3 linked regions of the Rattus norvegicus genome follow. The protein of the gene in region 3 interacts with the protein of the main gene of each other region in a pairwise test. Links are inferred from orthologs where the notes say so. Each region holds a gene or a part of one and is shown on either strand. Other genes may lie near its edges.

The links.
Region 1: the proteins of Adamtsl4 (region 3) and Cfap206 interact in binary tests that used the Homo sapiens proteins (3 or more experiments, as listed by UniProt). The two-hybrid records come from large-scale screens. The link is inferred for Rattus norvegicus from reciprocal best matches to the Homo sapiens genes ADAMTSL4 and CFAP206.
Region 2: the proteins of Adamtsl4 (region 3) and Cpne7 interact in binary tests that used the Homo sapiens proteins (3 or more experiments, as listed by UniProt). The two-hybrid records come from large-scale screens. The link is inferred for Rattus norvegicus from reciprocal best matches to the Homo sapiens genes ADAMTSL4 and CPNE7.

The regions. Positions count from the first base shown.
Region 1 is NC_086023.1:54,078,126-54,088,154, reverse strand, and holds part of Cfap206 (cilia- and flagella-associated protein 206), read left to right. Parts: intron 1-981; coding exon 982-1,190; intron 1,191-1,595; coding exon 1,596-1,715; intron 1,716-3,576; coding exon 3,577-3,775; intron 3,776-6,062; coding exon 6,063-6,203; intron 6,204-7,476; coding exon 7,477-7,670; intron 7,671-10,029. UniProt on the Homo sapiens protein: Essential for sperm motility and is involved in the regulation of the beating frequency of motile cilia on the epithelial cells of the respiratory tract. Required for the establishment of radial spokes in sperm flagella.
Region 2 is NC_086037.1:68,085,358-68,095,386, reverse strand, and holds the end of Cpne7 (copine-7), read right to left. Parts: intron 9,752-10,029; coding exon 9,618-9,751; intron 8,915-9,617; coding exon 8,860-8,914; intron 8,418-8,859; coding exon 8,366-8,417; intron 8,299-8,365; coding exon 8,165-8,298; intron 5,835-8,164; coding exon 5,598-5,834; intron 4,963-5,597; coding exon 4,825-4,962; 3' UTR 4,190-4,824; downstream 1-4,189. UniProt on the Homo sapiens protein: Calcium-dependent phospholipid-binding protein that may play a role in calcium-mediated intracellular processes.
Region 3 is NC_086020.1:185,929,610-185,940,187, forward strand, and holds the start of Adamtsl4 (ADAMTS-like protein 4 precursor), read right to left. Parts: upstream 6,188-10,578; 5' UTR 5,872-6,187; intron 5,304-5,871; exon of another isoform or gene 5,197-5,303; intron 5,098-5,196; exon of another isoform or gene 3,993-5,097; intron 3,930-3,992; 5' UTR 3,738-3,929; coding exon 3,718-3,737; intron 3,301-3,717; coding exon 3,243-3,300; coding exon of another isoform or gene 3,228-3,242; intron 2,974-3,227; coding exon 2,636-2,973; intron 2,503-2,635; coding exon 1,905-2,502; intron 1,688-1,904; coding exon 1,585-1,687; intron 793-1,584; coding exon 656-792; intron 270-655; coding exon 65-269; intron 1-64. UniProt on the Homo sapiens protein: Positive regulation of apoptosis. May facilitate FBN1 microfibril biogenesis.

The DNA.
Region 1 (10,029 bases), on a different chromosome or scaffold from region 3:
CCGGGCCCCCAAATGCTGGAATGAAAGGTGTGCCCCACCACAGCCACAGTACATCTGTTACTTGTAAATTTGAAAATACTTACAAAGTATTGAATAAAGAACCTAATGAAGAAATAATTCCATGTGAATTTTATCCTTCTGCAGGCCTGCTGAGAAGGTGTTACTGCCTTTTACCTAGATCACTAGATGAACACTAGCTGCAGGGTATTCCAGACAGACACCTGCCTGTCTTCTCTCCTGCCTTCCTAACTTTTGGGGACTGGGAAACCACAGAGTTCCAACCCTACAAAGGTTTTGTTTGTTTTTATTCTTAAAAGTTGTTATAAAAATTCAAATTCCAGTGTTGGAGAGCTGGCTCAGTATTTGCTCTTAGAGAGGAGAGTGGTTTCATTCCCAACACCCGCATGGTGACTCATAATGGTTCCATGGCATTGGAACATGGGATCCAGCACCCTCTTCTGGCCGCTGTGGGTATTGCACACAATGCTGCACAGATCTCTAGGTAGATAAAGCACTATATGTAGATATCTGTAAAAATTACAAAAATCAATTTCCCACCAGACAGAGAGAGCCTTCCCCTGCTAGACTGCTCTGTTTATTTTTCGGGTCCAGATAAAGTTCACACATATGTTTTAAATCTGCTTTTATGACAGGAACTCAGTGGTTCTTCTAAAGGCGCACGGCAAACACAGGACATGGCACCACCGTCTACCTACATTTTCTAAAATTAGTGAGAAAAGTGGATCTGATTCCACCTTTCTTATTGTGACAGTGGTTTTTTTTGTTTTTTTTTTTTGTTTTTTTTTTTTGTTTTGGTCTGGAAAGGTTCTTTTCTGCATGGGGTGCGACTGTGAAAGAGATGCCTTTATTATTATTAATCTGCTAGGAAAAATCTGACTCAGTTTAATGTTTAAAAATACAACTATTTTCTGGGCTCTTTTCCTCTCTCTCCTGCCCCTGCTCTCGTCCCCTGACACACAGTGCCAGCCATTCTCCTCGAAGCAATCCCAGCCACCACACACCATATCGACTCCCAGCTTCAGATTGCCCAAGAACAGGCATTTCGCTACACGGCCATTATTGAGAAGGTAACAAACAACCCGCTCATGGCCAAAGAACTTCAGCCGTACATGTTAAAGGAAGCGCTGTATAATGTTCGACAGTACGAGATCTTCCTGCAGACTGTCCTGGTGAGCTAATGTGGCAAAATCTGGCATTTTCTGTATCATGCAGTCGCCCCTGAGAACAAAGTGACTCACAGAGGAGGAAGTCCGCATTGCCTTGGCGTGACCAGGGCTTAAAAACAGAAACAGCAAAGTTAGGTTTGATCTCAGTGGAACGGTGCTGGGAGAAGCCAATTTACGGTTGTCGATTCTCTTTAATACTTGTTGGTATGATTGGTAACATGCTACAAGCCGTGATGTGTGTGTGCATTTGTAACACTTGTTACTTGAGAGCGTGTGCTTTGCACTGTTGGCAGGGAGCTGGCACAGACAGGGTCATTGTCACTTGGAAGCTGGGAGCAGGCAGGGTTTAACGCATGGTATCAATGGTAAAACTATAAAATGTGAATGCAAGTCGTGCTGTCGTCACAGTCAGATATAATCACCTGTGCTGAGGAAGTGGAGCTGATGACAAAACAATTGGCAGCTCAGCTGGAGCAGCTGAAAATGACAGTAAAATCCAAGACGGCGGTCCCAACGTCACAAGTCTTCGTGAGTACCCAACGGCATCCCCTTCTACCTGGTGTTTGTGGCCCAGGCTCTCAGCGTGTCGCCCTAACTGGCTGGAGCTTGCTCCGAAAGACCAGGTTGGCTTCAGATCACAAAGATCCCCTTACCTCTGTTCCCAAGTGCTGGGAGGGAGGGACGAGGAAAGGAGGGCCGGAGGGAGGTGTGCCCCACCCAGTGACTTGGACTCTTTAAGATGCGTTTTATTTTATTGTGGTGAAGGGGCATGCCACACGGCTCATGTGGAGGCCAGAGAGCAACATTCAGGACTTGGTTCTGTACTTTGTTAGTGGGATCCTGGGATCAAGCCCGGGCTGTCAGGCTTGTGAGAATTTTTACGCACTAATAATCCAAAGCGTTTCTCATCTGGGATCAAACCCAGCTGTGCCCCAGCTGGACCAATGCTCACTGCTGAGCCAACTCCCTGGCATGCGGTTGGTTTGCTCTGTTGTTTTGAGCCAGTACCTCACTTTATAGCTGGGTACTGTAGCTACCCCAAGCTGTCCTGCAATGTGGATCTTCGTGTGCCCACATCCTGGGTGCTGGAATGCAGGCATGTGCCACCAGGTCCGGTGCAGTTTCTTAAGGCTGGACCTCCTTTTGAGTCCTATAAAGTGAATGGAATTCCTTATAACTGTATCCACTAGAATGGTATTATGTAACACCCACCATTCCTTGTATACAAACTGGCCCTGCTCTTCATGATCAAGTCTCAGTAACAGCCTGCTTGTTAGTCTGATGAAGGAAATCATAATCTCTAGTGACGAGGACCATAGTACCTGTGGCCACAGAAGCAGTCCATTATAGTGTTGAAAGTGTGCTTACAGAACTGAAGAAGATGGTAATGGCCTTCCACACAGTCACACAAGCACCTGAGTTTAGGTTCCCAGCAACCATATCAAAACCAGATGCCGTGCTGTGTAGACAGAGCCAGAAGGATTTCCGGCTCTTATATTGGCCAATCAGTGAGCTCTGGGTTCAGTGAGAGATTCTGACTTAAGAAATAGGCTAAAGAGTGAATACGATCTCACACACCATGGGTTGGGGGAGAGAGAGATGGCGCAGGGAGGAGAGAGGCAGCAGGCAGGGAGACAGATGGGGATGGAGAAAGAGAGGAAGAGAATATGTTCACAGTACTGTCCGAAATGGAGTCTAGCACGGGTGTGATACAGTGTAGGAAGAAACCCTCTATTTACCACGCAGTGACTTTCTGATCAACAGTACTGTTTTATAGAAAAACGTTGCAACCCTAATCTGAACAAGGTAGTTGTAAAATGCACATGCATTTTGCATGTATGTAGAGCACTTGAAACCATGGTAACTTTCTGCGGGTGTTCTCAATGTTTGTTTTATAAAGTAAGACCCTTTTATGTGAGGCCTGGTTGATTTTCTGTTTAGTCTACAAATGTTAATTTCTATTATGAGTAAGATATTTATGTCACTGACCTAAAGATTTAGCTTCGGCTCCCTTGACATACCAGAAAATGTGCTGTGTGCTTTCCAGGTTCTTTCGATCCATGATAGGGCCAGGGAAATCTACTACAGTGAGTTTTTTAGTTTTTGAACAAAAATTTCCAAGTGTATTTTCTTTCTTGACCTTTTGAGGTAAAGTAATAAATACTATTTCTTAGGAGATCAAATGTGTTTGGCTACTTCTTGAGTAAATTAACTTAATAACAGTTATGCCAAATGAAATACTTGGAAAGAAAACACTGGTTTTCCTTCTTCTGACTTGCGAGTCTTTGCTAGTTTGACAAGGCCTGGATGTGTAGAGGAGCGAGTGGCTTTTAAGGGCCCAGCGATGGCTCTGTCACACAGTCACTTTGTCTGTGTACTCTCCTGCTAGCCCATCTTCATTGCGCTGGCCAGCCTGTGGACGAGCTTCCAGGATGAGACGGTTCTTATCAGCGTCCTCAGCAACCTGACCACCAACCTGGAGCTCTTCCTGGGCACCCATGACCTCCTCTTTCCCGAGAAAGTGATGCAAGGCCTTCTCGATGGCGTCATCGTGAAAACCGATATGACTCGGATAGAGGAGCACTTAGGTAAGGCACCCTAGCCATTGCCTCCTTCACTTTTAAGTTCCCATTCCCTTAAAGTCACTCTTGTTAGTTTCAAATAGTCACGTTCTAGCTTTCTGATAAAATACTAAACATCTTAATTGTGAAAGACTCATATTCATTCTAGAAAGTATGGGGGAAAATGCAAGACATTGTAACGCACACCTTGAGTTTCCAGGGTGTAGATGGTGGAGGCAGGAAGGCCAGCCTAGGCTACACAGTAAGTTCAAGGCCAGCCTGAGCTATAGAAGTCCCTGTTTAAAAAAAGGGTGGTGGAGCGTGAAAAATATAGATAGTGGAAACTGAGTTTCTTACTTTCCAGAAATTAATTCTTATTGAGGTCCCTTACGTCCCCATCTTGTGTGTCTGTGTATTTATGTCGCAGGGGGGCTGGTTTTGTAATTGATGTACTGAGAAACAGTCTTGCTACTTTCATTGCAGATAAAGCTCCATTTTAAAGAATGATACTTGCAACACATCTTCTTAGTGTCAAGTTGAAATTTGTGAACTAATTTAGCTAATCTTAAGCCCCTTAAAGATACATCGATAACCCACCCGCCTTGAGACAAGGTTTCTCTGGGTAGAGGTGACTGTCCTGAAACTCACTCTGTAGACCAGCCTGGCCTCAAGCTCACAGAGATCTGCCTGCTGCCGCCTCCTGAGAGTGCTGGATTGTGCCACCACCGCCTGCTGACGTATTGATTCTTCCAGAAAGGTTGACATAATCAGTCAACTTTTAATCATTTTATCAGCTTTTTACTTTTTGTATATTAATTACAGACAACCTAAACTTCGCAAGAAATATTAACGCAGAGCTTAAAACTTAACACTCAAACTTCTTCCAGAAAAATGAAGTTAGAAGTTTACTAATTTCTTTTTCAGATTCTATTTTGGTAAAAAAACGAACCAACAAAACCCAACAAACAAACAAAACCCTCCCAAAACAAAAAAAACTAGAAAATAAAAATGTAACAGTGAATTTGTTTCTTAAATTATTAGAATCTATAAAAACTGAAAGCTAACTAGGATACCCCATATCCACTCAGTGTAAGTTTTTACCACTTATTTAACTTCATCAAAACAGTGAGTCATGTCCTAGCAGATATGACAGGAAATTGAAAAGTTGGAGTAAGTTCATTAGTGACTGTTCAGCCCAGCCTCAACTTCTTAGATTTAGAGCCGTCTTTCCTACCAGAGTCAGAACTTTCTCTTCATTAGAATATTTCATCAGCTTATTCTCTCTCGAACTCGGAGAGCCATATTCTTTTGAAAGAATTTACACCTGCTTATTCAGGCTGTTGGAAGTTTGGGTCTAGCACCAGGAATATTAAAAATGTGTGTGTGTGTGTGTGTGTGTGTGTGTGTGTGTGTGTGTGTGTGTGTGTGTGTGTGATTATAAAAGTTAAGAATGTTGGGAAACAATTTTTATGAATGTATGATTCGTATCTAATTTATTCCTTTTAGTTGTCAATGTACGTAAAGCAACTGGTATGAGGAAGTGTCCTTAAAGGTCCAAGGAACGGCTGGAAAGATGCTCCACGGTTAAGAGCATTTCCTGCTTCCTAAGAGGACCCCAGTGTCACAGGCTGCAGCTGCAGCACCAGGGGAATCCGACACCTTCCTCTGGCTCTGGAGCACCAGACACGCATGCAGTGCACACACACACATATGTAGCTACTCACACACACATAACATAAGCACAGCTATTTAAGAAAGAAGCCTAAAGAAAAATTTATACGTTTTAATCAAAATTAAGCTAGTAAAAGACATCTTCCTATTTGGAAGTCTTTACAGCTTTGAGATACAGTCTAGTTATGTAGTGCTGTCTTCAAAGTGTTCTCCATGTAGCGTTGTATCAAGACTTGGGCCATCCTAAATGAAGGAGATACTCTTGGTCACAGAACAGGTCTTTCTGCTCATCTCCTTGGGTCATTTACTGTGTGGCAGCAGGACCATTACGTACCCTGACAGAAGTGTTCTGGTCTGCCTTTCCCTAACCTGCAGAACAGGCTTTTCTGAAAGGTCTCTCAGGGTTCAGTCCGGAGCAAAGTTCTGTTTCTACCTTTGCTTCAGCAAGTTGCTGGCTTGGGTAGTCACTGAGGCCTTCACCCTCCTTTACATGAATATCACCCCCAATGAGTGGTTTTGTGTACACCAGGGGAGACTTTGCCAATTTGAAAGAAGTTAATGTTTAGAATGACGTGCTGCTGACTTATTTCAGAAATTGCACCTTCTCAATGGATGAAAACCATTTCCTGTTCTTTCATTTCAGAAGAAAAAGTGCAGTTGGCAGATTTCAGAGTACTGGAGTGGCTTTTTCCGGAGACAACAGCCAATTTTAACAAACTGTTAATTCAGTACCGTGGATTTTGCGGTTACACGTTTGCTGTAACTGATGGCCTTCTCCTCCCAGGTATGTTGTTAAAGAGTCTGCACTCCCTGCCTGTTCTGTACGAGTGCCTGCTTATACGCACTGTGTCAGCCTCGAACATTGTGTGGACTCGGACGGTGAACCAGGGAGGAGATGCCGAGATGACCTGGCGCCGTCCTCACCTGAAGGTGCTTCAAGGACAGTATGATAGCCTGAACAAGAGACTGTAAGGAATGAGGGCCGGGAGGTGTAACAGGTTGCCCGTCCCTGATCTAAAATGTTTCAGGCCAGAAATGTTTCTAATTGTGGGTTTGGGAGAGAATGGGATTATTAAGGGATACGACCCAAGTTTAAACAGAAATCTGTTGATGTTTCATAGACGTTTTCTGTTTAGCATACTAAGAGTACACTATGTTTAGCGCACCACATTTCTACTGTGACTTATCACATGAAACTTCTGTTTGTGGGGTCGTGAAGGAACCCAAACTGCTTCTGATTTTGGAGCATTTCACATTTCACAATAGGGACACTCAGCCATCATTATACAACATGGACTCTATAATGCCTTGAGACGGGGATGATTCTCCTGTACGGAGGGAGCCCAGAAGCATGGTGTAGCCGTGCTAAAGACAGAGCCTTTGAGAGAGTTACCAAAAAAGACTTATTTAACTAATGTGTTCACTTAAAAAGCGTTCGTGATCACTCCACAGCTACCCTTCACTAACACAGGCTAGGACTTCTCTGTTAAGTTCTAAGGAAATATCTTATTAAGTAACATTTCTCTGTGGCATCTACATTATACATAACAACATTAAATTTATAAAATGAAAAGTAAATTAGATATTGGGAGGCAATAGATTATTATTCAAAAGTTCTGTGTGCAGTGGGAATGGCAAACCCATGGGGGCTAAGTCATAGTTAGTCCTAGCTGTCAGCAAGACATCCATGGGAAGAGGAAACCTCCATTCAAAAATTGCCACCACCAGGTTGACCTCTAGACATGTCTTGGAGGCCTTTTATTGAGGGATAAGTAATGTAAGAGGGCCAAGCCACCCTTGGACAGTGTCATCACCAGGCTGTAAGAAAGGTAGCTTCCACCAGCTGTATTAGTATGACACAGGAATGTAGCGGGTTAGCACATGGTACATGTACAGAGTTAGTATGTGAAAGGCTCTGGGTCGTACTGTTAGCCATATGTCTATATGTATGTATGTATGTGCACATATGTCCATGGACATGTTGGTCCTATGGCTTATCACAAACACAACATTGCTTGGTTCATGACTAATTAAATTATCGTTCTTAATTTTCACAGGAAATCCAACGATTGGTATTTTGAAATATAAAGAAAAATATTATACTTTCAACAGCAGAGATGCCGCATATTCATTTGCAGAAAATCCAGACCATTACATTAATTTGATCAAAGAGAAAGCCAAGAAGAATGCAGAGTTAATTCAGCTACTAGAGCTTCATCAGCAGTTTGAAACTCTCATACCGTATTCTCAGGTAAACATGGGAACCCTTGAAAACACCTGGGTTTGTAATTCCTGTAATTAAAGTGGCATCTCGGTATTGCTCACTGTGTAGTTTTTCCCTGACAGTGAAGTTCAGTGAGTGCAGAAGCAAGAGTAGGCTATCCAGTCTTCCCCCTCACTTTTGACCTGACAGTTTGAGACTGTGGCTCTTTGAGCCAGAAGGTCACTGTCTCCTTGAGGCTTCCTGGCCACTAAGCTCCGCCATTCTCTGTCCCCAGCAAGTGTTGGGATTCTGGCATGTATGGCCATGCCTAGCTTTTATTAGGGGCTGGGAGTTTGAACTCTGGTCTACTTGTTCTCACCCGCTTGGTACCTTTTAAGGGTGCAAGAAGGAGATCATTTTCTCTGCCAAGTAAAGGATTGAAAGGAAAAAGTGTCACGAGAAATCTTGGGGAGCCCCAGCAAAGACATCATAAGATACGCAGGAATCAAGGTCTCCTTGTGAGGCTCTTGGCTTCATTAATAAAAGGATTGAAGCTAAACATGATGGCACATCCCTTTAATCCTGGCACTCAGGAGGCAGATCAAGGAGGATTTCTGTGAGTTCGAAGCCACCCTAATTTACCTATCGAGTTCTAGACTAATCAGGCTATGGCACCAACTTCAACAAACAAGAAAAAAAAACCCAAGCCCAAACACAATATACATAGACATAAAGATATACATATGGATGAAGGGAGCTGAGAAGATGGCTTCGTGGTTAAGTGCACTCTCTGCTCTTTCAGAGGGCTTGGCTTTGGTTCCCAGCACCCAGTTCCAGGGGACTTAGTACCCTCTTCTGGCTTCTGTGGGCACCAGGTATACGTGCACATACATACATGCAGGCAAAACCAAACAAATCAAGCTCTCTTGGCTGGTGAGATAGCTCACCAGGTTAAGGCTTCTGCCACCACACCTGAAAAATCTGAGTTCAATCCCTCAAAACTACGTAAGTGAAGAAGAGAACTGACTTCTGCAAGCTGTCCTCAGACCTCCGTGTGTGCATGGGATCTACACGTGTGCACACATACAATAAATAGGTGTATACATTTTTAAAAGGAAAGAAAAAAGTCAAATGGAAACTCAGGGCCATTTATTTGTGCTTAAAGGGAAAAATCAGGGCAGGCTAACTGTAAACCTCATAGCTGCCTAAAGGAATAGAAAAGATAGTCCTCAAAGTCTGCCTTGTAAGCATGAGGTTCAGGCCAGTGTCAGAGAGAAAGGAAGGAAGGATGGAGGGAGGGAAAGAAGGAGGGAGGCAGGGAGGCAGGGAGGAAGGGAGGGAGGGAGGGAGGGAGGAAGGGAAGAAGGGAAGAAGGGAGGAAGGAACGTACATTACACTTGTCTGAGTAAAGGCAGGCAGGGCCCCCTGAACCTCATGCTTGCCCATGGACTACACTGGGGGCAGGGGTTCTGGGAAGGTGCGTGATCTTAAGGTGAACCCACCTTCCTAAGGGACCTGTTGTGTTCCGAGGCCTTGTTTCTTTGAGGTTCTCCATCCCCTCTGGCTCTTGAAATCTTCCTGCCTTCTCTTCCATTGGGTTTCCTGAGGACTGTGGAGAGGAGTTTGATGGAGACATACAATTGAGGACTGAGTGTTCTAAGGGCTCTCACTCTGCATATTGTACCTCTGTGGTCTCTGTTCCCATCTACCGCAGGTGGAAGCTTCTCTGATGAGGCTGAAGAAGACACTGGGCTATGAGTACAACAGAAGGTCACTAGGAGTCATTTTATTGCTATGTCCCTTTAGCACTGTGGTTCTCTGGGGACCAAGATTCCTTTGAGAGAGACGTATCTATCAGATATCATGTGTATCCCACATACTTACATTATAATTCATAACAGCAGCATCGTAGTTATGAAGTAGCAATGAAATACTTTTATGGTTAGGGGTCATCACAACATGGGGAAGTGTTTTAAAGGGTCACAGGATTAGGAAGGCTGAGAACCACTGCTCTAGCAGACAGTAATGTTTTTCTCCTGGGCTCCTGGTTTATCTAGTATCAAGTTCCTGGCCACCTGAGCAGTGTTGGGCTTGGTTTCCACCTCATGAAGAGGGCCCTAAATCAAATCAGATATTGTTTGGTTGCTCCCACAGCTTTGTGCCTCTGTTGCACTAGTCCATCTTGCAGGCAGGTCAACACTGTAGATTGAAGGGTTTTTAACCGGTTTATGTTTCTTTGGTACTGTGTAGAGTACTTTTCAGTACCACAAATACTAGTCAGTAGAGGTGAAGGTTCCGTGTGGGCACCAGCTGGAGCTTTCCATGTTCAATGAGCTGTGTAGATGTTATCTGAGGGCACGCACACATGTGCGAACTTGCGCTCGAGCACACACACACACACACACAC
Region 2 (10,029 bases), on a different chromosome or scaffold from region 3:
TGGTGCTCTTAACCACTGAGCCATCTCTCCAGCCCATGGGATGGAGTCTTAAAGGATGCATCTACCCTCTGCCAGACTCTCCTTCTGGGCCAAGAACCTGGACTATTCAGTCTTGGGAAAAAAGAAACTGTGTGAACCAGAAAGATCTATCTCTCTCTCTCTCTCTCTCTCTCTCTCTCTCTCTCTCTCTCTGTGTGTGTGTGTGTGTGTGTGTGTGTGCACGTGTGCATGTGTGTGTGTATGTGTCTCTCTGTCTATTTTTCTGTCTCTGTCTTCCTCTGTCTCTGTGCCTCTCGGTCTTTCTCTGTCTCTCTGCCTCTGTCTCTATTTATCTCTGTCTCTGCCTTTCATGTCTCTGTTTCCTTGTCTCTCTGTCTCTGCATTTCCATCTCTGTGTCTCTCTGCCCCTCTCTCTCTCTCTCTCTCTCTCTCTCTCTCTCTCTCTCTCTCTCTCTCTCTCTTTCTCTGATACTCTGACACAATGACTCATGATGACTGACATCTTCTTGGTATCTATCAGCCTGAAATCTCACCCAGGATCACCTGAAGTTCAGGCCTCAGGCCTGGTCAGGGTCAGGGTTGTGCCACTGAGAGAACACTGGGAAGAGGCTGCTCTGGAGGTCTCTTAGGATTTGGCCCCAGGTCTCTCACCTTGGCTGCTAAAGTAGATGCCCCCCAAGATAGAGCCCAGAGCAAGGGAGGATCCCCTGCTGCCTCACAGGGACTGCCTTTAGCCCAGGGCTGTTTCTCAGGGATATTCTGTTCAATGTAGTGACTCTAAGAGGACTCAGTCCATTAACCCTTGGCCATCAGTTCCACCCACAAAATATAGCCAGTCAGCTTAAAAGGATGTGTAACTCCTAGCACCCCAAAGAGATGGCTTCTTACCCTACGTCCTCTGGCTGAGATTCTTAATAGTTGTAAAATGGAGCCTTCTAGGGTTGAGGGCAAACTCCATGCACCCAACTAATGCCTGAGTTTTCATGTGTGTGTGTGTGTGGTAAGGGGCATAGCTCTCCCTTGCACTGGCTTATTGCAAACTGGGCACAATGACATATCTGCTCAAGAGAGATCCAGGCTTCACCTAGACCCTGCAAATAACATAGCTCTCTAAACCTGGATGCTGTTGTTGGGTTAAAACCCCACAGAGTAGACCAATCCCCAGGGTGGCTGGGAGAGTCTTTGAGAGAGGCTTCAATAGTTAAAGCAAAAGAGGAGTGCAGCCCTTCCCAAATGCACACGTGCACACTCAGACGTGGTAAAACAACACACGCATGTATTTGCGTGTGCACAGATGCGTGACTAAACACACATGCATGCATAAACCAAGGCTCTAGGCTCTATAGCCTGCGAGTCAAGCATGGAAGGCCCAGCTCAAGACTCTACTGCGTATTCTTGGCTAAATGGCTTCATTTCCCTGAGTTCAGCTCCCGCTCCGTGCAATGCACACACTTACAATAGGCCATCACGTGGGGCTGTTGTGAGAGCTCAACACTGCGGGCAATGTTTAAGCAAATGCTTAGGGAGTTCTGGGAAGGGAGGGACACTCCACCGTGTATAGGCACTAGAACTGGTGAGGGGAGGAGGGGAGAAGAGAGGAGAGAGGAGAGGGAGCAGGGAGGACACACCCCTAGAGCCAGCCGATTGCCCACCAGTAAGGAGCATCCACATGCAGAAGGACAGGCCAGGGGCAGGTGGCGAAGGGAACAGCTTCACTCACAGCTCTCGTGTGATTGGCCGAACTGCGTGGGGCTTGTCTGACAGCTTTTCAGCCCCCACACCAATTACAGGCACTTAGTCACAGGTTCCTGCCCCCACTTCCTCTCAGCAGCAGGAGAAAGAACAGCCTTGGTGGGGCTAGTCCTTCCCACTCCCTCCATCCCTGCCTAGCTAGCTTGGATCGGGAACAGGATGGGCACTAATCCAGCAAGGCAGCGAGAGCTTGGCCCCTGAGGCCCGGTGGGCTCTATAGGAGGGACAGGGAGATGGGAACACATTTAGAACAAAAAGGATGGACCTTCGGAAGCTGGCTGTCCCCTTAGACTAAGAAACTGGTACCCCAGATCAGACTGAACGCCACCCATCCAGCCTCCTGCAAAGGCTTTGTATGTCAGAGTGCACGGCGGGTCAGGCTGAAGGGCAGGGCTCGGAGCATAAGAAATATGGATTCTCTCAATCCATCCAATAAGGCAGCTGTGTCTCTGCCTGGTCTCTCCTCTCCTAACAGTGACATCAGCCAGGGCTGAGTCTTAGCTAGATGAGAGAGGGCCACCACAAGGGGTACTCTGAGGTCACTTATCCATTTAGCTATGTGTTTACGGCAGGATGGAAGTCGGCTGGGGCTGGAAGCTTATTCTCATGACAGTGACCATGGGCCACTCTTATCCTGGTGGCCCCTGGAGGCTGATATTTCAACTGAGCATGTCAGTATGTGGTATTCGTAGGGTTTTTGGGGTTTTTTGTTTTTGATTTTCAGGACAGAGTTTCTCTGTGTAGCCCTGGCTGTCCTGGAACTCAATCCCTGGACCAGGTTGGCCTTGAACTCAGAGATCTGCCTACCTCTACCTCCTGAGTACTAGAATCAATGGTGTGTACCACCATCCCCCAACATTTTTTTTGTTTTGTTTTTTTAACCAGGGTCTCATTATGGAGCCTGAAGCTAGCCTAGAATTTACTATGTAATTCTATATTGGCTGGCCTTGAACTTACAGAAATCTGACCCCTTCACTTTCTGAATTCTGGGACCACTTAGCACTCGGTATTTTAATGACCCAGCTGTAGAAGTGACATTGGACCCCAAGTCCACCCAGGTTCAAAACGAGAGAATGTAAGCCTGCCTCTCAATGGTACATTCAAAGCCCTGTTAAGCAGGCGTGCTAGTCTGTGGCAGACAAGGAACAAGGATCAAACCCCCCTCAGACAGAGAGGCCCCGTCTCAGGCCAAAAGCTGTTAAAAGCCCACAGGTGTTAAAAGCTAGAGCTGGTTAGGCTGGCTAGCCAGCGCCTCCAACCTACAAGCCCCAGCAGGGTAGGCTGTGGGGCTCTTGGCCTCTCTAGGACCCCCCAGAGTTCAGCCAACTTGGAAATTCTTTACCCAAGGCCCTGGGGTCACTCCCATGCTCTATGCTCAAGAGCGAGGCTCCCCAAGTTAAGTTGGAAGATTCCCCGAATATCAGGGAACCCATTCCATCCGCACTGTTGGGCTTGATTCGCACAAGTCCCGCTGGACTCCAAGATTATATGGCACACGCTGTAAGGCAGCAAAGGGGGCGGGAACAGGAACTTGGACAATCAAAGCTGTACTAGCTCTACCCCATCAGAGGTACCCCAGGCTGGTCCCTCCACTAACCTGAGCCTTGATTTCTTTGTGAGGCGAGAGTCTAGGGCATGCTCCTGGACCAGGTTCCTCAAGGGCTGAAAGAAACTCACCTTCTCCTTGCTTTGTGATCTCTTGGAAGGGCTGTCCCTTCTCACCCCTCCGGCCAGTGGCTCTCCCAAGCCCCCCACACTGACTCCTCTACATGCATAAACCTTTCCCCGTTCTCTTCCGCCTGCTGCTGGGATCCTAGGCTCCTTGGCTTCACCAGAGAAGAACCCAGGCAAATCTAAGAACTGTCAGGTACTGTGCGGACTGGATCAGACCTGGCTGACACCCTGGGGCTCCAATCTCCCACCCTGCTGGTGTCTCCTTTCCCATATATCCATGGAAGGTACATTTCTCTGGTGTCCTCTCTGTCCCCAAAGAGACCAACATCCACCGGCCCTTCCGGAATCGTAGCCAGGTTACCATGGTGATGCCTATTATCCGGGCTTAACAGGAGATGAATCAGTAGCTAAAAATAGCTCCGGAGTGGATAGATAGATAGATTGATAGGTGGGTGGGTCTGATTCAGGATTGGGACAATTTGTTTTTCTCAGACAAGATAATTGAGAGGAAATCTCAATTAAAAAAAATCCACCCCCACTCAGACAGGTGGAAGCTGCCCTCAGCCGACAGCTTGTGGCACATGGTGAGTCCTGGGTACAAGCCAAAGTCACTTAGGGCTGCTTTTCCCTTCCTGACACATCAGCCGAGGGGAATACCTAAAGCCCAGCCAGGCCACAGCCCTGACTGGTGTGGGTGACCTGGTGAGCCTGATTCTAGGGACGTTCATGCCAGATCCCCTGAAGCAAGAAAGTCACAAGGCTGTGAGAATGAGGGGATGCTTTATTATACCCAAAGCTGCCTCCCACAGACCTTTCAGGCCCCAGGGTCTCAGGTATGAGCATGGGTTGGACTGGTACCAGATAGGACAGAGAAACCGATGGGATCAGAGTGCCTAGAAATAGGTATCCTCGAGGGTTGGGGTACTGCCTCTCTCCACAAGATCAAATGACAAAACTCTCCAAATCAACCACCCCTTCCACAGCTGAGCTGCCGGGATTATGACAGGTGTGGTCCCACCCATCTCTCTGGACCGAGTTGGGCTTGGGGGCTCTTCTGAAGTGGTGCCAGGCAGTGTGATTGACACCCGACGTGACAGAGAGGTGAGCTCAAGCAAGAGGGGAAGAGCATTTCTGTAGCTCCAGCTCTTTCAGAATACCCTGCTCTATGCCTGTTGCATACAGGGAGGCCCAGACATGGGAGAGCTAATGATTTCTGTCACTCCACAAGGCCTAGATCTCTTTATGTTGGGAAAACGGGCCACTGGCCCAGGCCAGCCGAACACGGGAGCAAGGCTGGGGCCTGGGCTGAGTGATGAGCTTCTGAGTGAGGGGTCTCTGGGGGCACAGGAGATGCTGTAGATTGGGACATACTCTTCAAAGCCCCCTCCCCTGACATCCTCATGGCGCTGAGCTGGGACCAGCCTCTCCAGTCTGGCCACCAAGGCTTCGAGGAGGCAGGTCCTTGTGGCTGTAGTACTCAACCACCTGCTTTGGCACCTCGGCCAACACACACTTGGCCAGTGCCGCAGGGGACGCCTGGGTTGAGAGACCACATGGTTACATCTGAGGGCCTTCTACATCCTTATTCCCCTATCTGGGTCACAGTCCCGGGACTCAAATCTACTTAAGGGACATGTGACTTGGCAGTCAGTTGAGCTACTAAGGACACAGGGTGGAAATGCAGCCACCGAGCCCCTAGACTGTCCTAGCGTTAGCTGATGGAAGTGCCTACACTGTCCCCAGTGTGTCTGTGCGGGGAGGCCAACACAGTCCTTTCATCTCTCCCAGCCACAGCAGGTAATGACAGGAGGTAAAGAGGGGCCACCAGGCACAGACGTTCACCCTCATGCTCTCTCATGACGACCTGCGATGTGCATGTGGGAGAGAGTCCACGTGACATGTTTACTATAGAGCGGGCATGGGGAGCTGTGTGCCAGGTCCACAGAACCCCTACTGCCTTCTCTGTGTCATAGATTTTAGGGTCATAAGCTCACTGCACAGGCAGTCATCAGGGTGGAGACTGACCAGGAGCCATCCCCAGAGCCTACTCTTTAGCCTGACATAAAAAGTGCAGGGCCTTATCCTGGGCAAGGAAGTCATGCATGCATGGAGCAGTGGGAACCGCCCCCCAGGGCCCAGCTCTCAATGCCATCCCCCTTTCAGCCACTTACATTCTTGAGCTCACGGAAGGGCACAAACTGAACGATGTCTCGGAGTGCAGGCTCGCCCCGTGGTGAGCGTAGGATTCCATCATCCCCATCTAAGATTTGCATATCCGTGAAGTCGGCGTTGCCCACCCCAACAATGATGACAGACATGGGCAGGTGGGAGGCGCGCACGATGGCCTCTCGAGTGTCCGACATATCCGTCACCACACCGTCCGTGAGGATCAGCAGTATGTAATATTGCTGGGGGCATCAGAAGGAAGCAGGGGTGCCGGCCCCTGAGACCTCTCAAAGCCACACACATCACCTCCAGCTCCAGTCCCCGCCCCTGGAGGGGCCCCTGCTGTGTGCACCTCTGCAGTGCCCAGGCACAATGCAATACTCGTGACAGTCCTAGTCATAAATTACTGCTGGCCACTATGTAGAGTAAAGCTGCTCCACCCGTCATGGGACTGCAGAATCCACTTTACAGACAAGACCACCTCTCAAGGCTTGAACCCAGGTCTCATATCCAAGGAGGAGGACTACTGGATGGACACGGCCTAACACCCTGACACCATGGCGCCCCGGTCCATGCTTCAGGAATGACATAGTGGGAAGTGTTTCAAACAGAAGTCCATTCTCATTCTCAAGAGTACAATACCCCCGTTTAGTCAAAACACATAAGTGAGCAGGTATGCAGTTTCCTTGTGAAAAGCTGAAATTCAAAATCTGCAAAATTCACGAATATCCTCAAACCTCCTAGCTGGGGCATTTGAAGGTGGTTATAATCATAAATTTTCAATAGTGTGTGTTTTATCACAACAAAAATAGTTTGATTAAATCAAACTTTTTCAAAACAGAAGCAAAATAAAACCTCAGGACACAAAGTGACCCTAGAAAAGAATATGACAGAACTCTTGGCCATGCTGTTGGAACTTTTCCTCTAAGTCTGAAATTAACTCAAGGTGAAGAAATGAAAATGTTTAATCCAGGGGTTGGGGATTTAGCTCAGTGGTAGAGCGCTTGCCTAGGAAGCGCAAGGCCCTGGGTTCGGTCCCCAGCTCCAAAAAAAGAACCAAAAAAAAAAAAAAAAGTTTAATCCAGGAACAAGAGACACGTAGTAGGCATTTGTCGATCAAGAGTGTGGATCTCTGGGAATCATCTTATTTTTAAAGTTAAAAAAGAAAGACTATCGATGCCTGTGATGCACACACGCCCACATGGAGGTCAGGGGCCCAACCCTTCTGCCTTGCTCCCTTCTCTGTGTGTGGATTCTGGGAATCAAGCTCAGGGTCACAGATTTGCCTGGCAGGCACCTCAGCAGCTCCTCTTGGCAATTTCCTGACTTTTGGAGAACAGGAGACCTCAACTCTTAAGAAAAGTTTTTTTTCCCCAAGGAAAACAAAAAGTTATTGTGGAAAAAAGGGGGGGTACATTCATCAGAAGACACACTGGCTAGGTTTACCAAATCTGTCCACTGTGGACAGCATTGCCTAGAACTCAGGATGATATCTGTTGGAGCCACTCCTTCCTGGAGCACAGAGGGATCCTGAGAGCCAGCATGGAGAGGTCTCCACTGCCACCCTGAAGGGGGCTCCACTGCCCGTGTGTGTAACGTTCCTGACAGAAGACCAGCTTGCTGCCTCCTCTACACCCTCCTCCCCCTCAGAGTGCTGTTGGGCAGCAGGACTACTCGTGACCAGAGTCTGGGGGTTCCAGGTGGAGTCTGAAGGGTCATGATAGAGTCTGTGGGGGTCAAGATGAAGGGGACGAGCAAAGTCCAAATCAGACCACACCTGGGGGCATCTGGGGACAGGTAAGAGCAGGGACCTAGTAGGATTAGATAGCAGGAGGAGCTGCCTTCCGTGCCCTGCCAGACATTGATATACATGAGACCCACCCGGCAGGCGTGGGCATCATGCACATTTAGGGAGGAAGTGACATTAAGCTTCAGCCTCTTAAATAGTTCAGAAGGACACTTAGTGCATGCATACGTGAAGGGGATGGAGGCAGGACGACGGGGTGGGAAGGAGGAGAGGATGAGATGGACCAGGGAGGTGGAAGGGAGAAGGGAAGGAAGAAAGGTGCAAGCTGGTAGCTATTACGACTTGGTGGATGGCCAGAAGTCATGTGCTGGTCCCTTGTAAGCACAATATTATTTTTTTTTTTCAAAATGAAAAATTAAGAGAAAGCAGCAGGCTGGCTGTGTCTCAGCAGCACACAGAGGGCTACAGAGAGCAGAACACGGCCCTGAGGGAAATGTGCACCCTGAGGATGCCTAAAAGAAAGCCGGTATGTGATACCCGCAGAGGTGCAGAGGGACAGGAGGGAAACTGAGGCAGACCAGTGTCTGTCTGAGATAATAAGGGCTGACTTTGAAGTGTTTCAGTCTTCTGCCTAAACTAAAAACAGACTGCCTGAGGCTTTGAGGGAGCCACCAGCTGGCATCCTGGACCCTTCCCTCATCCCACCCCTCACTGCCTGCCTCAACTCTACCCAGATAACTGCTTCTCTGGTCCTCACCACGACTACACACACAGTTAACTGGTGCTACAGCCGGGTGCATGCAATCCCTGCCCCCAGTCACCTACAGAAGCCTCCCCTGTGCGCTCCTCAGCTGCTGCCATGCGTGCCACCTTAGAGATGATGGGGGCCACATTGGTGGGGCCGTAGAGCTGGACCCTCGGCAGGCAGTTCTGGTAGGCCTCTACCACACCCTGGATCCCTGTAGGGAACGGAGGGGTGAGCCTGGGCCGATGTCGCACGTTGCCAAACCCACTTCCAGCTCCTACCTTCACACTCATCGTCCTCGGGGTTGAAGTTGATGGCAAAGTCATGGGACACCTGGCGGGGACAAGAGTCAGACAGGACCTTCCCAGGACACACTTGATTCCCACTTATGGGGAAGAAGCTGGGTTGTTGCTTCTCGGGGCCCATGTGGTAAGACCTCCATGGAGAGAGGAAGCCAAGAAGGAGGCAGACAGAGGGACAAACTAATGTGGGGCAGTTAGGGCCTGGATTCAATAGTAGCTGTGTCTTCGAGGCACACTAACCAATAATTCCCCTTTCCTACCAGCATCTAGGTAAGAAGTTGAATTGTCCCTTTCTGGTAAGAACAAGCACCGTGCCTAAAGCTCCACCCTCTAAGGGGCCAACAGTCAGTCTCTGGCCACAGCCAGGGTCGCCCCTCCCTCCACCCCCATCTCAAAAGGGAACGGTGGCAACTAGGGTTCTTCCTGGGTTGCAGAGGGTAGAAGGATGGGGTCCCAGCCCAGGGCTCTCCTACCTCATACTTTGGAGGTATCCGGGCTCCAAATCCCAAAGCAGAAAATCGCTTGTCACTGGAAAAGAGACAAAAGTGACAGCTCCAGGAACCCGGCCCCCCGGTGAGTGAAGTAGACACTGGAGGGAGACTAGAAGGCCTGGGCCTTGCTGGGTCAGAAGCAGGGATTACAGGCAGGCCACAGAGGGGAAACTAAGGAACTGAGCAGAGACTGTCCACAGCACAGGCAGGAAACGGTAGAATTGACACCAGAAGACTGGGAGCTGCTCCCTGTTCTTCCCTCCCTCTAAGGACCCTGACCTGAGGTTGTAGCACCTGAAAGGCACCTACTTAACCCCACTATACTTTCTCTTCTCCCATTGAAAGAGGGAGTTCCATGGGCAGGGAGCTCAGGATGGGGATCTGGGCCGTTGTGTTGAGCTCAGAGACCAGACCATCCGTGTTTGCCCTCAGCCCCATCCTAGCCAATCACCCCAACGTCAAGGTCTGCATTTTTCTGCCCTACAAGATGATTTCCAACCAACGCCCAGGTTTGTGTCCCAGTGAAGGGGTATGGGGCCCTGTTAGAGACATAACCCATCCCCCATCCATCCCCTGGAGGATCTGTACCAAAGGTCAGTTGAGCTTCACGTCTACTATGTTAGCTGCAAAGATGCTCCCCCTTCGTTTGTGCTGACCTCAGGGGTCAATCACACTGCCTGGCACCACTTCAGAAGAGCCCCCAAGCCCAACTTGGCCCAGAGAGATGGGTGGGGCCACACCTGTCATAATCCTGGCAGACCTCGCCCACGGCCACCAGCGCCCTCAGGTACTCGTTGGGCTGGTAAGGGTTGATGTGGTGGAGGGAGCAGCTGTTCCTTGGGTCACCATTGGAGGCTGTGAAGTCGATGGCTACCTGCAGGGGCCAGGATGATGAACGGCACTGTGTACCTGTGCCCTCTCACACACACACACACACACACACACACACACACACACACACACACACACACACGCACTGGACAGGCACAGGATACCGGAGCCCAGCCTAAGGTCAAGAGCCTGGAGTCTCAGCTTCCTCAGCTCTATGCAAGCTTAATGGTTCACTGGGACTACTGGCTACACCTTAGGAGATGAGAAGCTCCCCAAACCCTGAAAACCCTAAGTATCACCCTTGGAATCCCAAGATGACAT
Region 3 (10,578 bases):
TGCTCGGCTGAAGAGGGTGTAGAAGGCAGATCAGAGAAAAAGGATGGCCTGGGCCAGTTCTCACCAAGGTAATTGGAACTGGGTCGGAACTGGGAAATGCGAAGATGGGAGGCTCCCGCAGGAATCCACAGGATCTTCTGATAGCCCAAGGGGCCCCCTCGGTCAGTGAGATTCCCCGAAACGAGACGGCAGGTAGAGCCGTCACCCCCACAGACTCCACAGCCATCCGGACGCCTGCCAGAGCCAAGGATCCCATCACAGCCGGGGCTCTGAGGAGAGTGAGGTGAGGCAGGGGCCACACAGAAGCCAGGCACACCTCACACCTGGCCTACTCCACTCAGGGCCCTCAGCTCGGCCCCTGCTCGGCTCTTTGTGCTTTGGGTGAGAGTGTTCTTTGGGCCCCCAAGCACTTTTGGAGTAGTTTTAGCCGAGTCTGGTAGGATCCTGCCTATGACCCACCCTTACTGGCAGCAGAGATGTTCCCTCTGGCCACCTCAGTCAGGTGTTTTCACTCTTGTAACAAATTGGGGGGAGGGGCGATCTCGAGAGTGTGTGAGGGAAGGTGCACATATACAAACCTGCCCTCCCTCACCAACACCCTGCCCTCCCTCACCAACACCCTGCCCTCCCTCACCAACACCCTGCCCTCCCTTACCAGGCAGTGTCCAGCCACACAAATGTCTAGGGATCCAGGCTGACACAGGGTCCCATCCTGCACCTTTTCAGTGTGACGGACATAAAATCGGAAGCCACGGGGGCGGCAGTTCAGTTCACAGCGCTGGGAGCCTTGAACTAAAGGACAAGATATAGATTAATTAGCTGGGGGTCCCTCCGGGAAGAAGCACCCCAGAGCCCTGACAGCCATTCTACCTTTTATCATGTGTGAGGCTTCCTGAAGTTGGTGTGGAAGGAGGGAGGGGGAGTTTCCCACGCTTAGGGTTTTATGGCTTATATCTTTGTTATGCTGTGTAGTCTCGAGTTTACGATTTGACTAAGTCTCCCATTTCATTCTCCTAAAAAGGGAAAGTTTTGCACCTGGCCATCAAGAAAAGATTCTTGTGGTTTTGTTTTAGGTGTGTATAGGATTGGGGTGCTCACGTGAGAGAAGGAGGTCACCTTGCAGGAGTGGGTTCTCTCCTCCTACCATGGGTTCTGGAGACCAAACTCGGGTCATCCGTCAGGCTTGAGGCAAGCCCCTCTACCCACTGAGCCATCCTACCACTCCTCAAAAGGGTCTCCGACACCTACGATCATAGGCTCATAGCTCATGAAGGTTTGTCAGTGTGGAGTTGACATAGCCACAAGTCCAAGTGGACAGTAACTTGGGAGTAACAGAAGATAGTGTCCTGCTGGGACCAGTGAACAGGTCTCACTCATGCCCTGCCAGATCACAGCATCTTTTAGCCAGCTCCCTCCGCCAGCCTGCTGCCTGTCCTGACCATCCACCCATCGCTTCCCAGAAAACAGCTCCCTTCTCTAGGTCTGGGCTAAGCCTCTGGGGTGACCTGCAAAGTAGGACACCCAGGAGGGAGAGAGGGGCCACCCAAACCTGAGTCGCCCTGCCAGGGGAACTAGAAACTGCACCTTCGGTGAAGGGCTCCCACTGGTACAGCTGGCCCATGAATTCCTGGGAGTCAAAGGCGGCACACTGCAGGGCCCTGGGGTCTGGCTGCTCAGGGGGGCAAGGCTGAGAAGGCAGATATACAGGAGTCAGAGCTGCAGAGGAAACCTGGGGTGTGGGCCATGGCCAACGAGGCTTGGGAACTGGTTGGTCAACTCCATAGAACACCAAGGCGTCTGCCCTGAAGTCAGAACCACCACCCTGGAGTCCAAGTCTATCAAGATGAGGACTCGGGTCAGGGAACAGTGAAAGTCTAGGGTGCAAAACCTGGAGAACAGCTCACCTCTTGGCTGCAGGCTCTCATCTGTTCACTTTCCCCAGAACATTCTGGAGTGGGGCTACTGGGAGCAAAGAGGCTCCAGTGTGGGCTGGAGTCCCTTGTCAGAGGCAGCCAGCCATCTGGGGACCTGTGAGGACTCCCCGGAGGTCTCCAGTGCCTCCGGCTCAGCTGGCTCCGGGTGACAGGAGAGAAAGGATGTGGCTGTCGCTCTGCTCCCTGGGAAGTTGGCATTCGTGGCTCAGGGGATCCCTGGAAAGACCTACTGTCTCTAAAGGAGGAAGTGGGTGCAGGGATACCCATGTCGGAGGGAGCAGAACTGGTTCTGGAGGGCACTTCTGTCTGAGCAGTTCCAGACCTTGGAGTTTCAGCTGAGGGGGAACGGGATTGGGCACGCAGTTCAGGGGGCTGCATGTGGGGGCTGTGCTTTTCAGAGGCTGGTTCTGTGCTTGGAGGCTGGGATGGAAGTGTCTCTTCCGCTGTAGAGGAGTCCTTGGGCTGTCCAGGTTTGTGAGCAAGCCTGCGGCTCCGGTGCAGGGGCAAAGCAAAGGGCACTCGCCCGTAACCGAACATCCCTGGCTTGATAGGGTCTCGAACACGGAACCTGGGAGGATGTGTAGACTTAGTCACCTCTTCGCCTGTTTCCCCGGTCTGCTTCCTGAAAGACTGGCCTGCAGCGCTGGAGTCCCCTACACCTTTCTGTTAACCCCCATTCTGCTCTGCCCTCAGAGCCTCACCTCTGGGCCCCCCGAGGCTCCTGGGTCTCCTCTCTCCCCACTTGAGAAGCAGGACCTCGAAGAGGGCCACCCCTTCCCCGAGGCTGTGGCCTATACAGGGACTGGGGATCCCGTGGAGTCTGGGGTCTGGAACCCTGGCCCCGGGGCTGGGGGGCTTCTGGATGTCTTGGGGGTCGGGGAGGGAGGGACAGGGCTGGGTGCAGTTCACATGTTCGGCTCCGGCGCTGCACCCCCACCCCACAGGGCTGGGAGCAGGAGGCCCATCGGCCCCAAGGTCCCCAGAGACCCTCAGGGACCTGGTCCTCCTCTGATGGTGTCTGAAGAGAAGGACCCAACAGCTAGAGAGGGGAAAAGGTCAGAATTAGTGTCTCAAGGTTCAAGGGTTATTAGTTGTCCAAGGTCACATTTACAGGTAGGGTCAAACTCCAGCCTTTTTTGTGGTATTTGACTAAAAGAGAGGGAATCAGCAGGGAGACTGGGTGGGCCAAACCTGATACTAGGGGCTGAAGTCTCCCTGTGGGAATGTGAAGCCACCCCCAAGGGGAGGCCGGGGTACAGTGGAGGGACCCTGGGCAGGGTAGCAGTGGCTCACTTGTCCTGGGCTCACCTCCTGATCCTGGCAGAGCTGAAGGAGAAGCAAGAGCAGCATGACATACAGCCAGAGCCTGCACAAGGAGGGGGTGGTGGACATCAGAGGGAGCCAGGCCTTACGACATTGCCTGCCCCCTCCCAGGCTCTCCACAGCCTGGTGGCCAGCTCCTCAGCAAGCAGGAGTCCCTTGTCACTCGCCAGACCCCTTCCAGCAATCCGGTCCCTGAGCTTGCTTGAGCCCTCCCCACCCCCACCCGGGTGTGTGTGTGTGTGTGTGTGTGTGTGTGTGTGTGTGTGTTTTGAAACAGTGTTTCTCTGTGTAACAGTTCTGAATGTCCCGGAACTCTGTTCTGTAGACAGTGCTGGCCTCAAACTCACAGGCAGCCACCTGCCTCTGCTTGGATTACAGGTGTGCACCACTACCCCCAGCTCCTTCCCTGCCCTAAGTATCAGAGATAGAGCCGTTCCTCTCACTGCTACCCGTTTCTTACCTGCCCAGCCAAAGCTCCATGCTCTTCCTGTGACTGCCCCTGGGCTGGGGAGAAGGGACAGGGTAGCTACTCTGGCATCAGGGATGGAGGGTGCTCTGAGGAGGGAGGAGCATGGTGTTACCCCTGCAGATATCTGGGGGACTGAAGGGCTGTCTCAGCACAACACCCACAGTCTGGAGGGGTGGGGGAGGAGTGGTCCACCCCTTTAGGACCTAAGGGTGGAAGCAAAGGATCTTTGTCTTTGTCATCTGCTGAGGAGAGGGTGGGGGTCTGACCTCAGCCTCTCAGTTCAGTTGAGTCTCCTCCCTGTGGCCCAAGATGGACTTATCTCCTCTGGAAGCCGGAAGAGGGCCTGTGTGCAGGCAGCTTGGACCTAGAGGTTCTTTCTCCTAATACTCCAGGTCCTAGAGGAGACAGGCTATGCCAGGCACCCATGAGGGGCCAGCCAGAGGCCTCTTAGTACCAGGGGTAGGGGCACAAGCCATAATCCCACACTTGGGAGGGGGGAGTAGGAGGAGCAGGAGTTCAAGGCAAACCTGAGTGACATGGGACCTCTAGCTAAAAAAATTGAAAATCAACCTCCTCCCCCTAACAAAACCCAAGAGCATTTGTTTCTTACCCCTCTTACTCTCTTACTCTCTTACCCGCCCCAGTCTTTCTTTTCTTCCCCTTTTAACTAAGCTCCTTATGGAGGAACAGTGTCATACAGCTTTTTTTTTTTTTTTTTTTTTTTTTTTGTCCAAGGGATAAACTAAGTGCTAATAGCTTCATCTCTTGAGAAGAGGCAGTGACTTATTCTCCCAATGGGTGCCAGCATCCACAAGGCATTGGCTCAGGGTGACTTAGCTCATGTACTAGTTTTCTGCTTTTTTTTTTTTTCTCTTACAATGCTCAGCCAAAATGGCTGGGGCACCTAAGGAGAGATGCAGCCTTCATAGCAGCCCATGCGTCTGAGGCTCTCCTTCAGGTATACCTGGAAAGTCCACCCTTAAGTCTAGCTGTAAACACTGGGTAGTGGGGGGCTTCTATACCTGTCCTCAAACCATGTCTCTCCCTACCCCCAGCCCCAGCCCCTTCCTTCTCGCTGAGGCCCTGCCTACTCACAGCCCTCACCCCATCTTAGTTCTGCTTTCCAGGAAAAACACTGTTTCTGCTGGATCTGAATGGCACCATGAGAAGAATCCAAGGATTGCTGGCCAAAGTAGGCCAGCTCAGGGCATGCAAAGGTCAGAGAGGAGGCACAGCTAGGTTCCACTCCCCCTCCCTGGGACCCCAGGACATGAGAATTTGAGGAGGGGATCCAATTGGCTGAGCTGAGTTCTTGGGGCTGTGGAGGAGGTAAAATGCACTCCTCTCCTTCTTCCCCTAGCTGGGCAGCCACAGAGTCCACCACTTCCCTGATGGAAGAGACCCACCCATCAGCCCTATGCCTGCCTTGGGAGGCTGGACGGAAGGAAAAAAAGGGGTGATGAACACAACCTGTCTCTTGTCCGATGCGGGTCCCCTCTCCACCTCCCTCTGCTCCTCTCTTCTCCCCCAGGTCTGTCCCTGCTGCCTCTCCGTGGTCTACCCAGTACACATAATCCTGTCCTGAGCTGGTTTTGGCAGCTCTCTGGAGAAGTGAGGGGGGGGGGGGGGGACGAGAGCTCCTGGGGCTGGGGCCAGGCCTGGCTCCCTCTCTGGAAAAGTCCACCCCACCCTCCCCCGCCTAGGGGGGCAAGAGCTGACACCCCCTCCCAGCACAAATGTATGCTGGTTGTCCCGTTTTCATGCCCAGGGTGAGAAAGACAGAGGTCGGAGATGGGCAGGGTGGACCCTGAGGTTGGAGATGAGCAGGGTGGACCTAGGCTGAATACAAACCTATGTTGCTCCTGGTCACACCCCCTCTGGGCCAGTGACACCAAGGGAAGTGACCTGAAGGGAGCTAACCTTTTCACCCCAGGTTCACCTGGGGGGGGGGGGGAATGAGCCAATGCGGGGTTGGGGGAGGAGTATGGAGTTAGTAAGGGCTGGGCTAGCAGAGGAAAGATGTTGTCCTGTCAGAAGGCCTGGGTTTTCACGGGATCTCCACCACCACCACCCTGCAAACCATCCCAACAGGTGTCCTTTCCCTCAACCTCTCACAACAGGCTGAGCTGTGCAAAGCTCACTCACCCGCATCCCTCCTGGACACACTATCCCTGCGATCCCAGAGTGCAGGCGTCGGGGCGCATCCTCCCGAAGCCCCTCAGGGAAGAGCCGGCTGCGCCAGCGCGTAGGGAGGTCCCGGTTATGTTTTCCAACTTCACTATGTGACTTAATAGGAATCTTGGCGCAAGCCCTCGCCCGGGTGATGGGACCTGGAGTCCCAGAGACCAGACCCCCTCCCCAGGAATTCGCCTCAGGGTCTACTGTTCTAAGACAGTCAGAGCCCAGGCGGGGGTCAGGGAGGCTCTACCTTCTCTGCGCCCGCTCTCTCCAGCTGCCTCCGGTGGCCACCGCGGCCCGGAGCCCCGGGACAGCGCCGCCCGCGGCAGGCTCCACCCCACGCCACCCGTGCCCCGCCCGCCACGCGCTGGCCTCAACCACCCATCCCGGGCGCCCGGGACAGCTAAAGATCATGCAGTCACACTGCAGGCACCATTCCCGCGCCCACCCGGGGGCTCGGGACCCCACCGACTCTGGAAGGGCAGCCTTTGGGTGGAGCCTGTCCTCGAAGAACCTGAGCTAGCAGCGGACCCGGAGCAAGGGGATTTGCAAACTGGACCCTTGTGGTCCTGCGCAAGCTCAGATCCGCCCAAGCCAAGGCTCTCTCCTCCACGCAGCCAATGCCATCGCCTCCGCTTTTCCCATACTGGGCAGTGAACCATGTGGCTCTGATGGCCCAGGACGTCTGTGAGCCTCGGTTTCTTCATCCATAAAATTTTACACCCTGGAGCTTAGCGGAAGGAATGCACGCTGCATTATGAGTCAGACAAATTTGGATTTGAATTTCAGCTTGAGCACATGCCAGCTCTGTGGTCTTTCATGAGCGCTTCGACGTCAGTGCGGCAGTGTCGTCTGTAGAATGGGAGAATCTGATGTGTGTGCTAGATGTTTATCCATCTCCCTGTGGAAGAATGACTGAGGAGGGGTGGAGAAGGGATGAAATCGGCTTTCGGTTTTTATTCTATTCACATTCTATTTATACGTCTTTTTTTTTTTTTAAGATTGTTTGTTTTTCTTTGAGGCAGGGTCTCAGTAGCTCTGTCTGACTTGAACTGTGTAGAACAGGCTGGCCTTCCACTCACGGAGATCCGCCAGCCATTGCTTTCTGCAGTGTTGGGATTAAAGGCCTGCCTGTGCCACGCCTGTCCAACCTGGTCTACAGGGTGAATTCCAGCCAAGGCTGGGGCAGGGGGAAGTGGGGAGAACATATAGGGCATAGTATTGCACGTTTTATAATCTTAGCACTTGGGAGGCTGAGGCAGGAGAGGAGGACTACTGCAAGTTCAAGGGCAGCCTGGGAAACCCAGCAAGTTCTAGGGCAAGCTGGGCTACAAAGTGAGATCATCTCGGTTTCAACAACAATGAAGTACCCGAGCAAGGGTTGAGAGAGAGCTCAGCCACTGAAGGCCAGGCTCACCACCAATGTCCAAACACTCAACACACAAGTTCTGGCAACATTGTCTTGCAACCCGTAAAACAAGAGGCCCCTGGTGCACCAGACTAAGGTTTCTTGGATATATCTTGTACTTTGTTTAAATTCTTAAGGCTCCAAGTCTAGTTTGAAGAGATCCTGCCAGTGGAAATGGCCACTTTGGAGTTAAGGTGTTAACTGTGGGAGCGGAGTCTATCTCAGACAATGGGTGTGTGTATATAAACCATCCTCTGGCCCGCGGTGCGATTCATGCTGAAGCTTTGCATGCAGGGTGCTCTGGGTTCCGTTCCCAGCACTGCACGGAACCAGGAAGAAAGGTATTGTTTGTTATTTAGCAAGGTCCTGTGACTGTAGGGCAAGTTGACAGGAAACTTGCTGTGTAGCCCAAACTGATCCCAAATTTCAACTTCTCTTGCTTCAGCCTGAGTCTGAGTATTGGGATAGTTCAGAATGTTAACTTTATTTGACATTTAACATGCCTTTTTTTTTTTTTTTTTTTTTTTTTTTTTTTTTTTTTGGCTTTTCAGCAAATCCTCCCAATTCCCTTAGGACAAGCGCCTCCACTGGGGTCTCTCCTTGATCCTCCTCGGTTCCAGCGTCTGTGCCTCGGAAGAGCCTGGAAAAGCAATGAAAGCAATGGGTTAATGCTCCTCTCTGGAGGTGTGGCTTCTCCAGGGACCGCTGCGGACACACAGTCCCAACCTAGCGGTGTATTTATAGAGTTGTTTTCTCAGGGAAAGCCCCTTTGCTTAGAGGGCGCAAAGGCGGATGATCAAAGGCAGCCTGCCTCGTGGGGGCGGGGCGGGAAGAGGTTTTTAAGCGGCTTTCAGCGCTGACCCTGGCGATCGATCGATCGGCCTGACCCTGATTATCAGCAGCCCCTCATCTAGGAGGACACCAACTGCAGGACAGGCAGGCTCTACCGCCAGACAATGGGAAGGCGGTGGAGGGGGAGGACGGGAGGACGGAAGGGCTGTCTTTGACATTTGTAACTCTGAGAGCTGAAGGGCACAAATACTCCTTTCCATTAAGAAATGGCTGTGTACCAAAGAGCCATACAGCTGTCAACTCCCTGGACTTGGGGGTCTAGGGAACTTCTGATGACTCAGCAACTTGGGAAGGGTAAGTTTAAAATTGTGGATCCCATCTCGGACTTAAAGCGTTTTGTTGGGGCTGGGGATTTAGCTCAGTGGTAGAGCGCTTACCTAGGAAGCGCAAGGCCCAGCTCCAAAAAAAAAAAAAAAAAAAAAAGCGTTTTGTTTGTTTGTTTTTCTTTTGTTTTTTTTTTTAATAGAAAGATTATATAAAACCTGGGCCTAGTGGTTCATGCCTGCTATCCCAGTATTTGGGAGCCTGAGGAAGAAGGATTGCTCCAAGGCCAGCCTCAGCTACAGAGAGAGTTCCAGGGCATCCTGGATTAGAGTGAGATCCTGCCATTAAAGGACAAGCTTGGGGCTGGAGAGATGGCCTAGCAGTTAAGAGCACTGACTGCTCTTCCAGAGGTCCTGAGTTTAAATCCCAGGAACCACATGGTGGCTCACAACCATCTGTAGTGAGATCTGATGCCCTCTTCTGGTGTGTCTGAAGACAGCGACAGTGTGCTTATATATAATAAATAAATCTTTAAAGAAAAAAACAAGCTAAGAAGATTATTCAAGAAGTAGATGTTCACTCAAAAGCATCTCTAAGGGAGGAGCAAATTGAAGACAAAGGGTGCTGACCAATCAGGGGTGGCACAGCCTGCTTGCAGTCCCAGCACTTGAAAATCGGAGGTGGGGAGATCAGAATATATAATATAGGCAGGCAGCCAAGGCTACTTTATTCCCTAAGGCCCAAACAGACAACAAAACCACACTGAGCAGACTCTGTTCAGAACAGGGTGCCCCTCTCTGCTAGCTAGCTTTCAGAAGGTGCTGTGTGGCAGACATCAGTGACCCTACTTGGTGGGAAGGGTAGGGACCCAGGGGGTCCCTTCATGCTATAATACCAATGTGCCAGGCAACCTCTGCTACAGGCGCAATAGCAGGCTAAATAGCAGCTCTCTGGTGGGAACAGATGCCTGGTACTGCAATTCTGGTGAAAAGACCATGTCTTGCCAGGAGGCCAGAGGCCCTGGGGTGGAGCCAGCCCTTCTTATTTTACTGAATGAGCATGCTCAGATTGTCCTCCACTGTTCTATGTTGGTACCCATGGACTTGGGCTGATCTCAGCCTCGGTCAGAGAACCTGGTTTTTACAGTGAGTGGTTGTCAGTGCAAGATGCACCCTCGGTTGCAGTTGACAGCCCAAGATTGAAGGAGCCCTGCAAAGAAGCTGAGGCCTGGCATTATGAAGAGAGCCTATAAGAGGCTATTGGTGATGCCTCGTTGCCTTGGAAGACCCCAGCATGTGGTAAATGCCAGTACCATGGGATGATCACCAAGAACAGCAAGAGTGGAGTGGAGTCAACCGTAACCTAGAATGCTACAGAGGACAGAGCCAGAGAAATGACCTAGGCCCTTTGGAGGAGCCCAGATCATGTGTGGATCCCAGATATTGGAGCAAGAAGCTTTAAAATTGAAGTTGTCGTGGATACTCCAAGATGTTAGAGATGTTGGAGACATAGGATACCTGCTGCTAACTGGGAGTGGAACCAACCCAAGAGAATGAAGCTTGTTGCTGCTGAGTGCCAGATCTGCCAACAACAGTCAACAAGCATGAAAGGAGTTGGAGATCTGAGCAGTTCTTTTTTTTTCTTCTTCTTCTTCTGAGTTCTTTGACATTGGACCTGGAGATGTGGAGTTTGGAGTTTACCCAATTGGTTTTCAGTCTTACTTTGGTCCAGTATTTCCTTGCTGCTATGGTATTTTGGAACAGTAATATAGATCCTGGAATGTTGGAGGCATGGTTCTGCTTTTGATGAATCTCAGAAGAGACTTTGAAATTTTTTTTTTTTTATTCTTTTTTTCGGAGCTGGGGACTGAACCCAGGGCCTTGCGCTTGCTAGGCAAGTGCTCTACCACTGATCTAAATCCCCAACCCCGACTTTGAACTTTTAACATTGTTGAGACTTATAGACTATGAGGACTTTGGAAGTTGAACTAAATGTATTTTTTATTATGCTATGGCTAAGTATGGCCCCTATAGACTCATATGTGTGAACAAGTCTATGCCAGGGAGTGGAATGTGGTGGTTTGATTATGCTTGGCTCAGGGAGTAGCACTATGAGGAAGTGTGGTCTTATTGAAGTAGGTGTGACCTTTT